Linked DNA regions of Medicago truncatula. The protein of the gene in region 1 binds, or shares a complex with, the protein of each later gene. Links are inferred from orthologs where the notes say so. Each region holds a gene or a part of one and is shown on either strand. Other genes may lie near its edges.

The links. Proteins that work in one complex are often made in the same cells at the same time.
Region 2: CBL-interacting serine/threonine-protein kinase 23 (region 1) and calcineurin B-like protein 3 share a complex: the UniProt entries of both Arabidopsis thaliana proteins name them as parts of the K(+)-channel calcium-sensing kinase/phosphatase complex. The link is inferred for Medicago truncatula from reciprocal best matches to the Arabidopsis thaliana genes CIPK23 and CBL3.

What each region holds. Positions count from the first base shown.
Region 1 is NC_053043.1:21,923,592-21,929,527, forward strand, and holds the start of CBL-interacting serine/threonine-protein kinase 23, read right to left. Parts: upstream 3,620-5,936; 5' UTR 3,206-3,619; coding exon 3,005-3,205; intron 733-3,004; coding exon 670-732; intron 535-669; coding exon 463-534; intron 350-462; coding exon 242-349; intron 1-241. UniProt on the Arabidopsis thaliana protein: CIPK serine-threonine protein kinases interact with CBL proteins. Binding of a CBL protein to the regulatory NAF domain of CIPK protein leads to activation of the kinase in a calcium-dependent manner.
Region 2 is NC_053044.1:27,322,407-27,328,342, forward strand, and holds the start of calcineurin B-like protein 3, read left to right. Parts: upstream 1-2,873; 5' UTR 2,874-3,058; intron 3,059-4,020; exon of another isoform or gene 4,021-4,066; intron 4,067-4,149; 5' UTR 4,150-4,180; coding exon 4,181-4,304; intron 4,305-4,637; coding exon 4,638-4,720; intron 4,721-4,908; coding exon 4,909-4,968; intron 4,969-5,714; coding exon 5,715-5,823; intron 5,824-5,936. UniProt on the Arabidopsis thaliana protein: Acts as a calcium sensor. CBL proteins interact with CIPK serine-threonine protein kinases. Binds calcium ions. Binding of a CBL protein to the regulatory NAF domain of a CIPK protein lead to the activation of the kinase in a calcium-dependent manner.

The sequences.
Region 1 (5,936 bases):
TACAGCAGCTTGCTAAACAAAAGCTAAGAGAAAAAAGAGTAAGGGTATTACTGGCATAAAATCTACAATTGGATTCAAAAAAGCGTAGGCTTCAAGTAATTTCGCCATATTCCTTCTGGGGAAAAATTAATTTTTTACTGAAATTATTTTAAAACATGTAATTTGAAGCCAACACCAGCACCCCATCTCCTCTTTAAAAAAGGAAGCAAAGGAAAAATGTGAAGGAGAAAGTAATACACACCTTTAGGTCTCTGTGGCAAACACCTCTACTGTGACAGTAATCCACAGCACATATAAGCTGCTGAAAATATTTTCTTGCTTCATCTTCTTTCAACCTCCCACTGCGAGCCTGTCTCAATTTAATAACAGAAAAAATCAACAAAATAAGAGGTAATAGAAGGACAACACTAATATAAGGAATTTAGGCCTTCAAAGCACACACGAAGGTAAAAACCGCCTTACAATTTTATCAAACAGCTCCCCACCAGTCACGAGTTCCATTACAATGAATATCTTTGACCTGTTAGCTATTACCTACACAAGGAATTTGTAGTTTACAATACAGAGAGCAGTTAGAAAAACTGAAAGAATAAACTGGGAAAATATGAGAATAGAAGCAAACCACACAAATGTAAAATACATGGAAGCAATCATTTACTGCCTACTAACCTCATGCATGCGTATGACATTTGGGTGTCTAATCAGTTTCATTGTTGATATTTCTTGTTTTATCTGCATAACAGTGAACAACAGAATATCAGCAAAGACTAGAGTATTTATGCTTCAGAAAAACAAAATAAACCCCAAAATTTAGCAGAAGTTGTTCATACTAAGATTTATTACGGTCAAGCAAACCATGCCTACGCGAGGAGGATTTCAACAACAATGTTTCATTGAAATGTAACTTCAAAACTATAGACTACTAAACGTTTTCTCAATACCACACAAAACACAGTTTAAACTCGAATAGCTGCCATGTTTAACTGTTGCCAACACATAAAATAATTAGAAAGCAAGTAATTAATTAATAATATTAAGAAATGTCTTACAAATAATTATATGAGATATAATCAATCAAACAAATACTTTATATGATTAATCAGCACCTCATAATAAATGGCGACTGAGGTGGAAAAGTGAAAAGAACCATCCCAGAAGCATAGACCACTTTTGCTTTGGTCAGAATGATGAGATAAATAAATAAGGTTATGGTTAATGAGGGGTAACCTTGGCCCAACTGGTAAAGTTGTTGTCATGTGACTGGGAGGTCACGGGTTCAAGTCCTGGAAACAGCCTCGTGTAAAAACAGGGTAAGGCTGCGTACAATACACCAAATGGTGGGACCCCTTCCCGGACCCTGTGTATACAACAACAACAACACCCAAGCCTTTTCCCACTAAGCCTTTTCCCGGACCCTGCGTATGCGGGAGCTTTAGTGCACCGGGTTGCCCTTTTATGGTTAATGAAATGGCAAAACAGACTTCGGTTATTCATGTTCGTCCCTGGTTTGTACTGTCATGGATATGTTTCATGAAGACCCCACTAGTTTCTTTTAATTGAATGATGATGGCACCCATTAGTTTTGTTTCCTTCACAGCAATATTCAAACTTCTAGATTTTTCTTTTGTCAAAGTTTAAGTTATCAGAGACACTAGCAAGTAACTGAGAGTTTCGATGTAACATCCAACACGTTTAGGGAAATGTCTTAATAACTAACATCTTTTTCCCTAATTTTATTCATATTTTTAAGCTAAATTCTGATGGGAAGTTTGAAAATCCAACACACTTTCTCTAAGTCCAATTTCATTATTCTTGACATGTTTATGATTTCCATGCCTCGTAAGTCAGAAAGTGTAAACTGTTTCTTTTTTGCCTAGTAACGAGGATACTGATGAGAAGAAGAACCTTTTTGAAGTTTTATAAAGAACAAAGGTATAAACAAGAAACATTTTTGCGGCTATCAGCAGTGTATGACGTCTCTTGGTTGGAGCACAATGTTATCACCTTTGTCAGTTTCGTATACGGATATTCTTTTGAATTCTCTTCAGTAATCTACCCAAGAATCAAGACGCATTATTGTTTCAACAGAGATAATCTCATAAATTTCAATGACAGAAAACTATTCCAACGAGAAAAATCAGATAATAACATTCCCTACACATAACACTAACAGAACTTGACACCAAAACTAAGAAAACAAAAAAAGAAGTCAAACTCTTTAGTGTCTCCAATGATGATCCGTGTTCGAATCTCAACTCTATCTTGGTCAACCCTAGTATTCCACACTTAATCAATTCATTTTCATATTTACATTTATTTTTTATTTATTAACTTTCCAATGAATAAGATCATGGTTCTTGTGGAAGAACAGTTCTTTCAGTTGACATCCACAGATGAACTTGCTCCAGTAGTCAAACCGGAAAAGAACAAATTATCATCGGTAGGAACCCATTTAAGAGCCACAACCAAGGATGGCTAATTCAATGAATTTAAAAAGTTGTTTTTCTTATAAATATGATCGGAGGGAGTATCTATTAAGCCTCTATTTGGTTCTGCAGCAAATTTTCCCGTTAGCTCAAAACCTCGACAATATTTTCAGAAGCTCTATTTTCTAGATTCTAAAAATCACGGCAACTTTGCATTGATATCACTGCAAACGTATATATTCGATTATCAAACATGCAACCAAACAAGTACTAAGTTTGTTCTACAACATCTTTTCTTACCAGCCAAGAAATAAAAAAATCAAACCAAAAACACACAAAATTAAATTAATAATTCCATTAAAATAAGTAAATTAATAGTCAAACCCCAACACCAGCTTAAAAACTAAACAAAAAGATAAGTTAATAAACAGTGGTAAATGATCAATTAACATCTCTAAACGAAGATTAGTCAACGCTTACACAACAACAGTAGAAACTTCGTATCTATAACATAATAACCCAGAAAGCTAAGATATAAAAACAAATAATTGATTTAACAATTAAAACAAAGAATTAACCTGACGAATCATTTTATGCTTGAGAATTTTCTCTTTATCAAGTATCTTGATAGCAACATGATCACCAGTTTCAATGTGTCTCGCAAACTTCACCTTCGCGAAATTACCTTCACCTAACGTCCTACCCAGCTCATACTTTCCCGCCTTCGCTCGTCCGCCGTTGCTGCTTCCTCCGCTGATATGCGACGAACGTGACGTCATCTTTTTTTTCTCTCTCTCTTTTTTCTTTCCTTTTCTTTCCTTCCTTTTTCTCTCTATATTCAAACTATTTCACTATGATTATATGATTATATGATTATATATTAGAGCCTCTTCTTCTTACAAGGTTGCCACACTTGAGATTTTGGGAGTCTCATTTTTTCTTCTTTCTTTCCTTTTTTGTTGTTTCTTCTCTATCCAACCAAACAAAGGAATCAGAAATGGAAGAATCTAAAAGATTTAACGTTTGTGATTGAGGTAAATGGTCGGTGGTTGATCGTTGACCGTTGGATCAAAAGAGAAAATCATGATGATGTTTCAGCTGTGTGGAATAAAAACACAAAACAAGGGGAAGGAATTGAGAGAGAGAGAAATAATACTAAGATTTTGATGGTTTTGAAAGAAGAAGAAGAAGAAGAGAGAATGGTCAATGAAATGAATGAATGAAATGAATAAGAGGTTTATGTGAGGAAGGCTCATCTAGCAAGGTCACATGTGTCATAATTGTCAAAATCGAATATGCCATTGGATTTGGATTTTTATCTTTTCAATTTAATGCAGTTGGATTTGGATTTTGTCTTAGGTTGCATTGAAATTATAAAATTGTAGTAGATCCTCCGGTCACTAATATAAGCAAAAATATATTTTTTAAATATATTCAATTAATGATGTATATAACATATAATAAAGACCACATACATCATTAACTGAATGTATCTAAAAAATTAGATTTTTGCTTATATTAGTGAGCGGAAGGTGTATTTTTTTACTACTATATTATAGAACACGTATTCCCATGACAAATATATTAATATTTTTATTTTTATTTTTTTGATATTAAAATATATGTTTTTTTTTTCTACAATAAAATAAAATATAAGTATTTATAATATCAATCCACCCATTCTTCAACAAAGAAAATATCATTCCGCCAATGAAAGTCTTACCAATGTCTTATACCAAGATGCGGACCATTGAATCCAGCAAACAAAACCAGTCCAAATGAAAAGCAAGACAAAACAAAACACATGGGTCATTGATTTTTTCTTAAAAAAAATAAAATTATACCTATTCTTTTTAGAGGAACTACTTACAAACCCGTGCTTCAGCACGGGTTGAATAACGTATCTTGTAAAACAATTGTACAAAAGGAAAAATGAACAAATTATGGAAAATAACTACATATTTCTACAAATTTCCTACCTTTTAATTACAAAGCTTTGATGCATTAGAAGAGCATATCCTAATTAGGAAAACAACATTATAATTAGCATGTTTTTAATTGGAACCAATGAAGGGACCAACGATATGTCATTACATAATAGGCTTAATTACACTTTTGGTCCTCGTGTTTTGGCCTACTCACGAAACTGGTCATGCCCTTTTAAAACAGAACAAAACGGTCCTTCAATTATCATTTTTGTTGCATTTTTCGTCCTACCCCCCATTTTATTCTCCAAAAACGCAAAGAAATGATAGTTTTAGACCTAACCTCTATGCTCAACTATGAAATAAACAAGGAATAAAGCATGTGGGTACAAAGAATTCACTTTATTCAACACACTAACCAAAAAAACCCTAATTTCTAAGATATGTTTCAAATTATGGTTTTTTTTTTTTTGTTAGTGTGCTGAATAGAATAGATTCCTTGTGCCCACATGTTTTATTCCTTGTTGATTTCATGGTTGAGCATAGGGGAAGGTCTAAAACCGCCTAAAACTGTCATTTCTCTGCATTTCTAGAGTTTGAAAATAGGAGGTAGGACGAAAAATGCAACAAAAATGATAATTGAAGGACCGTTTTGTTCTGTTTTAAAAGGGCAAGACCAATTTCGTGAGTAGGCCAAAACACGAGGACCAAAAGTGTAATTAAGCCTACATAATAAGTGAAGATTTATCAAAAAGAGACTAACCAAAAAGGGAACTTTGCCAAAATTTACATCAGTCAAAAGGAAACAAAAGAAATGGCATCCCTACAATAGAAACTGATGAGCATCTACAATAGAAACACCACTCTTAAATACTCCCTCCGTTCCAAATTGTATGACGTTTTGGCCATTTCACACGTATTAAGAAATGTAATTAATATTGTGTGGGGAAGAGAAATTATGAGTTGTTTTACAAAATTATCTTTAATAAATGGTATGGAAAAGATAAATGAAATAATTGAAAGAAGATGAAGTAATTAATAGTTAAGGATATAATAGGAAAAATAACATTAATATTTCATTGGTATTGTAAAGCGATATATAATTTGGGACAAATTTTTTTTCCAAAGCGACATTCAATTTGAGACGGAGGGAGTATAAAATTTCTTTATACTACATCAATGTTTACTAATTTAACTTATTCCAAAAGTGAATGTAGAGTAATTTACTCATTTTGAAAGTAAACTAATATGTTTGGATCTGCTTATGCAATTCATTTATCACTTTTCAAGACACATTCTTTCTCTTTAAGGCCTAAGAAAACTCATCATGTTCAAAAGAGGCTAGATTGGACAACCCCATCATCCCAATATCTTGTTACACTACCTAGAAGCTGAACCCTTGACCTTCTCAACTTGCTCTTCAATTCGGGCAAACATGGCCTTCTTCTCTTCGTCATTAGCAGCTCCAAACTCCTTTACCAATTCGTCCAAGTCTTCCACTATACCAGCCTATATAGAAATATCAAGTGTGAGCACAATGCTAAATGCAACAATTTGAACTCTTTATTTCTAAGTATGATTATTC
Region 2 (5,936 bases), on another chromosome or scaffold:
CAGGGGAAAATTGACTATTTACTCATTTAAAAAATAGGTTTGTCTAACATGTGCAACATTGCACATCTTAAAACAACTAACAGTAGTAAATTTTTCTTAAAAAACAACAATTATTTATTCAAAAAATTTATATTACCTCCGTCCCTAATTATAAGACTCCTTTGAAAAAATAATGGGAATTAAGATAGTGGATATTTGTGTTAAATATGTTTGTAATTACTATTGTTTTTACAATTTTATCCTTTAAGAAAGAAGGTTGGCCTATGTTTTCAACATTTTATTTATTGCTGATTGAAGAAAAATATGTATAAATAGGGGCATGTATGTAAAGAAATAATTAATATAGTTGAAAATAGAAAACGGGTCTTATAAAACGGGACAAAAAAAATTCTCAAAAGGGTCTTATAATTAGGGACGGAGGTAGTATTTAATATTGAATGTACAAGTTCTAATACAAAGTTTCTATAAAACCCTTAAAAAATATAGGAAATACTAACATGTGCTGGCACGCACATCATTAACACGAACACTGTGTTTGGTAGAGGTGATTTATGAGAGAGAAGTAGGTGAGAGAGATACAAGAGAAATGTTGTATTTCTTAGTTTGGTTCAGCAAAGAATTAGAGAAGAGAGACACACAGACGTGGAAACCATTTCTTTTTGGAGTCTTCACAAAACTGAAGAGAAAGAGAGAAGAAAGACTTGTTTATTCTGTATCTTCCAAAATTACCCTTTGTTTTCTCCTCTTCCATTTGTTTAGTTTTTTTTTTTTTTTTTAACTAATTATGCCAGCACATGATATTACCGTATGAAAATAATAAGAAAGAAATATCAACACATGATGAATCCAACATACCGTAACATTTTTATTGAGACAAAAATAAGTTACTATTTTTTTTTACGAAAAAATAAGTGAGTTAATGTATACAACTTACAAGATACAAAATCATTACGTCAAAAATATATATAAAACTATTTTTTCTGGTAGTGACAAAACTATTGTAATAGTGGATTCAACGCAAACGTCATAAATTACATGTTTTTATTAAAGGATATTTTTGTCTTTTTAAAAAATTGTAGCATCTCTTTCTCTTCTATTTCTCTTATACCAAACAATCCATCAAATCTACTATATTTCTCTCTTCACATACTCTTTCTCACCTATTTCTCTCTTCTCACAACCAAACACACCCTAAGAGTTCAAAGTGGAATTTGTTATAATTTATTTTTGTAGATGATGAAAATTAATGTTTTATAATAAATATCTACTATTTATGAAATCTTTTTTCACGGTACTATTTATGAAATCTTTAATATGTACTCTAAGGGCACAATATTTTTTTTTGTGGTGTCCGAGATTCAAACCTCAGACATTATATATATTATGCATTATTCCTATCAATTAAGCTAAGCTCACATGTATCTAAGGGCGCAAGTTAGCATAACTCAAAAAATATTTAGTTTGTGGTAAAGTCAATTTCATTTATTTTATAGGGGGAGACTCAACTCAACATTTTATTTTACATGCATTTCTTTAAAGAATTGAGTGTGTTCACGATGGAGTTTGGATCAATTATCAAAATTTATCTAATCTAAATGTAATAAAAATTAAGGATTAAAATATACTTATGTTGTTTGATCGTTTTGATATATTTGATTTTGTGTGATTTCAATTTTTTTTTTATCAATATGCAGTTTTGACTTGAATTTGAACACCTCTATAAAAAACACTTGTGTGTGTTAAGAAACCTTCTCATATTTCTATGTCATCAACACCAACTACGTCCTTTTGTGATAAACTTATGGGTCCAATCAGAGCCTCAAGTATGATAAAAGGAAGATGTGTGTGTGTTAAGAAAACCTTCTAATATTTCTAAGTCATCAACACCAACTACATCCTTTCGTGATAAGCTTATGGGTTTCAATTAGAGCCCACAAGTACGATAAAAGGAAGCAGAGAGATGCACAATGTTGTTTAGCAACGACTCTATTCAACAGGTTATTTGCAAGATAAATTCTTCACAACTCCATATTCTTCAACATCTAAATCACTCACACATGCTTGTATATGTTTCTTTGTAGGTGAAATTTTTTAGTCAGAAGGAGCACCTTCATAACATGTCTTTACCGAGATGTGCTTTGAGAGGGAAAGTGTTGCTCGAATTTCTCAGCGAAATTCATATGTTCTTCTAGGTTATATGTGATATTTTGGCAAGTTCCTCCGTATGAGTTACTCAGACTTTGTTAATGCTTGATGCCCCATGCTTAGCCATGTTCCTATTGTTTTTTTTTACCATTCTACCCAAACAATTCACACTCACTTTATATGTTTATATACAATGTCCTAAAAATTGTCGTCATTTTAGTTATTTAAATATCACTTACTCCCTCCGTCCCAAATTGTATGTCACTTTAGAAAAAATATTTGTCCGAAATTATATGTCGCTTTACAATACCAATGAAAAATTAATGTTACTTTTCCTATTATATCCTTAACTATTTATTACTCTCTCTTCTTTCAATTCCTTCATTTATCTTTCTCATATCATTTATTGAGGATAATTTTTTAAAACAACTCATAATATCTCTTTCCCACACAATATTAATTACATTTCTTAATATACGTGAAATGCCCAAAACGTCATACAATTTAAGACGGAGGGAGTATCATTTACACGTAAGTTTTACTTGACAAAACATAAGTAAAATGATTTGGCATCATAAATACACCAAATCTTTCTTACACAATTGAATCAATAAATTACATTTATTTTTTTACAAACAATAAATTACATGATATCTCATTTAATTTAGAGGCACATTTATTGATCAAATGCTGAAAAATAACTTGATGGCCACCCTATAATTGAGGTGAAAGTTATGTGTGGGTTGTACTCTTTGTACTCTACCTGTCATCGACCATACCACAGTCTCATTCTCATCACCCTCCCCTGCACTTCCTCTGCTGTGAACCTTCAAAATCCCAACCATCCAAAACTCCATTTCCACCACTTTATACTTCTCTGTTTTCTGCTCATATCATCTCTACCTCCATCAAGGTTTGATTTTTATCCCTACCCACTTCACCTTATTGCTCATTAATCATTGATCATACTTCTGTGCATGTTTTTATCATGTTTTTTGATGCGGTGTTCTTTATTTTTCTCTAAATTTCCTTTCTTTTTTGTTTTTCTACATGTTGATTTTTTGCTTGTTTATATAGATCGGTGAATTCTTTATGTATGAGTTAAGGGGTATGTGAAAAGTGGATTATCTTGAATTTTGAATCATTTTGGATTGTGGATATTGAATTTTGAATTTGGTGTTGCGTTATGGATCCATGTCTATCAGCTATTATAGTGGCGTGGTTCATGATGAGAGTTGTGATTGTTGTGGTTTATAGGATTGAGTATTTATCAAGAATTTGAATTTTGATGTGATAACATAGCATTGCCCCGTGTTTTGGAATTTATTATGGATTGAAATGGAGTGGAATATAGCAAAATTATTATTCTATAGTTTATTTTTATTTTTATTCCTTTCAAACAATCCAAATTACATAACCTATTATAATTTCATTCCATCCCTTTCCACTAATTTAAATATAAGCCTTGATTCTAGTTGCCGCTGTTTTTGTGTATGGTTGTTTATGGAGTTCCTTATCAGTCAATTCCTTGAATATATGAAGGTTCCGTGTGGCAAAACTACGACAACCAAACATCCTGAATTAATATAAGGAGTGTTGATAGACGTGTATAAATAGTTTGGGGGTTCATTGAGTACAAATTTATGCTCACAATGTTATGTTTTTCGCAGAGAAAGGAAATGAGCAATGTACAATTCATGGCTTTTGAATGCTGATACTTTTAGTATGATGTAACAATTTCATGGTTAAAATATGGAACTTGTTATGCAGTTGTGTTTTCAATTTGTGTACTTTCTGCTGATATCAGAATGTGATGGTCTGACTGGCAGATATGTATTCCAATTTTGTTCTGATTTTATTTTTTAAATTTCACAGATCGTGCTATTTGGGATTGTCACCTGAAATTGGAAATGGTTAAAAGGTTTGCACTCAAGTGCCATCTTACGATGACTTAATGATAAATGAACTACATGGGAATATCTAACTGATTTATTCATGGAACAGTTATGGAGAATTCTGATTTGCAAGAGATACCATGTTGCAGTGCTTAGAGGGATTCAAGTCTCTACTTGCTTCTGTATTGCGTTGTTGTGACATTGATATAAATAACCAGTCAAGAGGCCTTGAAGATCCTGAACTTCTTGCAAGGGAGACAGTGTGTACGCTGTTAATGCTACTTTATTCTATTGATTCATTACTTGATACTATTTGCAAAACTAGATAACAAAAGAATTTTAATATGCCAACATCTGTGAAGTGTCTGATGATTGAGATTTGAGAATACTTGCTTCTGAAATACTGTATCATGCAATATTCCGTTGAATTTTAAGGTAAAGTAATTAACGTTGATGAACTAGAACAAAAAAGAAACGGCATAGAACATGTGATTATCTCTTTGTTTGCTGATTCTATCATCTTTCACACTATTGGTTTGGAAATGAGTATGTAATATTTGTACTAAAGATGACTGTTTATTTTGAATATGTATGCAGTCAGTGTTAGTGAAATAGAAGCACTGTATGAGCTCTTCAAAAAGATCAGCAGTGCTGTAATTGATGATGGGTTGATTAACAAGGTTTGTCCTCTTTTGTCATTGAACAACTTTTGTTTGGTTTGGCATATTATGTTGAAGTTGTATGCATTGTCTATACTTATATGATATGACAATTTTTCTTTTTATTTTATTGTTTTCCTTCTTTGAAAAGGTTTTAGTTTTAAAAAATCTATCCGATGTTATATTCAATTTTAGTGCTCATCTTGCAGGAAGAGTTTCAATTGGCATTGTTCAAGACGAATAAAAAAGAAAGTTTGTTTGCTGATCGGGTACTGCTTTCCCTTCTATTCTATCTGTTTTGTGCAAATATGTTTATCTCCGGGCTATTATGTTAGTTCTTATTTTGATTTATACTTGCTGAAGATATTTTTATCACAATGTTTTCTTTTCTATTTTATGGGAAATCCAAGAAAGCGTTAAATTTACTTTGCACACTGGTATATGGTGTGGACAACATAAATTGAATAGTTCATTGAACATGAGAATCAAGAAAATTTTGTTCAACTTTGTACCTCTGGTAAATGTTTGTAGGTGTAACTAAGAAGTTAGATAACATCATATAATAGGATTTCAAGTTAGTTAGTGTACCGGAAAAATTAGTGTAGTTTCACCATGTAAATTAAGGTGCTACAATCAGTTTTGTCAATTGCAGATCGCAGAAAGTAGTGGCTTGTTCAAATTCCCTATAGCACTGTTATAGCTGCTATTTGATAACATCTTGTAGTAAATCGTGTATCGCGGAATAGTAGCAGTTTGTTAAAATTCCGTTTCACTATAGCCGCTATTTGACAACACTGGCTACAGCATTTCCTTAATATACAGTGCTTACTATCCTGTTCATATGTTTTGTTTATCACATGTTCCCTTACACACATATTTTCAAGAAAAATCACTTTCCGGACCGGATTAATTATCGTTTCTACTTAATTTTTTGTTCCTTTGTTATGTTTAATGACCGATTCTTATTATTCCATGTGGTTGGTATCTCACTCGAGCTTTTCTCTAACTCTATTAGGTATTTGATTTATTTGATACAAAGCACAATGGGATACTAGGTTTTGAAGAGTTCGCTCGTGCCCTATCCGTTTTCCATCCAAATGCCCCTATTGATGATAAGATTGAATGTATGTTGTATATTTTTCTTTTATTATTTTAGGCTGAATTCTCAGTAATTCAGCTTCTAAATTTTAAGAAAGCACATTTAGAGTAAATTCTTTAATGAGAAAAGGGGATATGC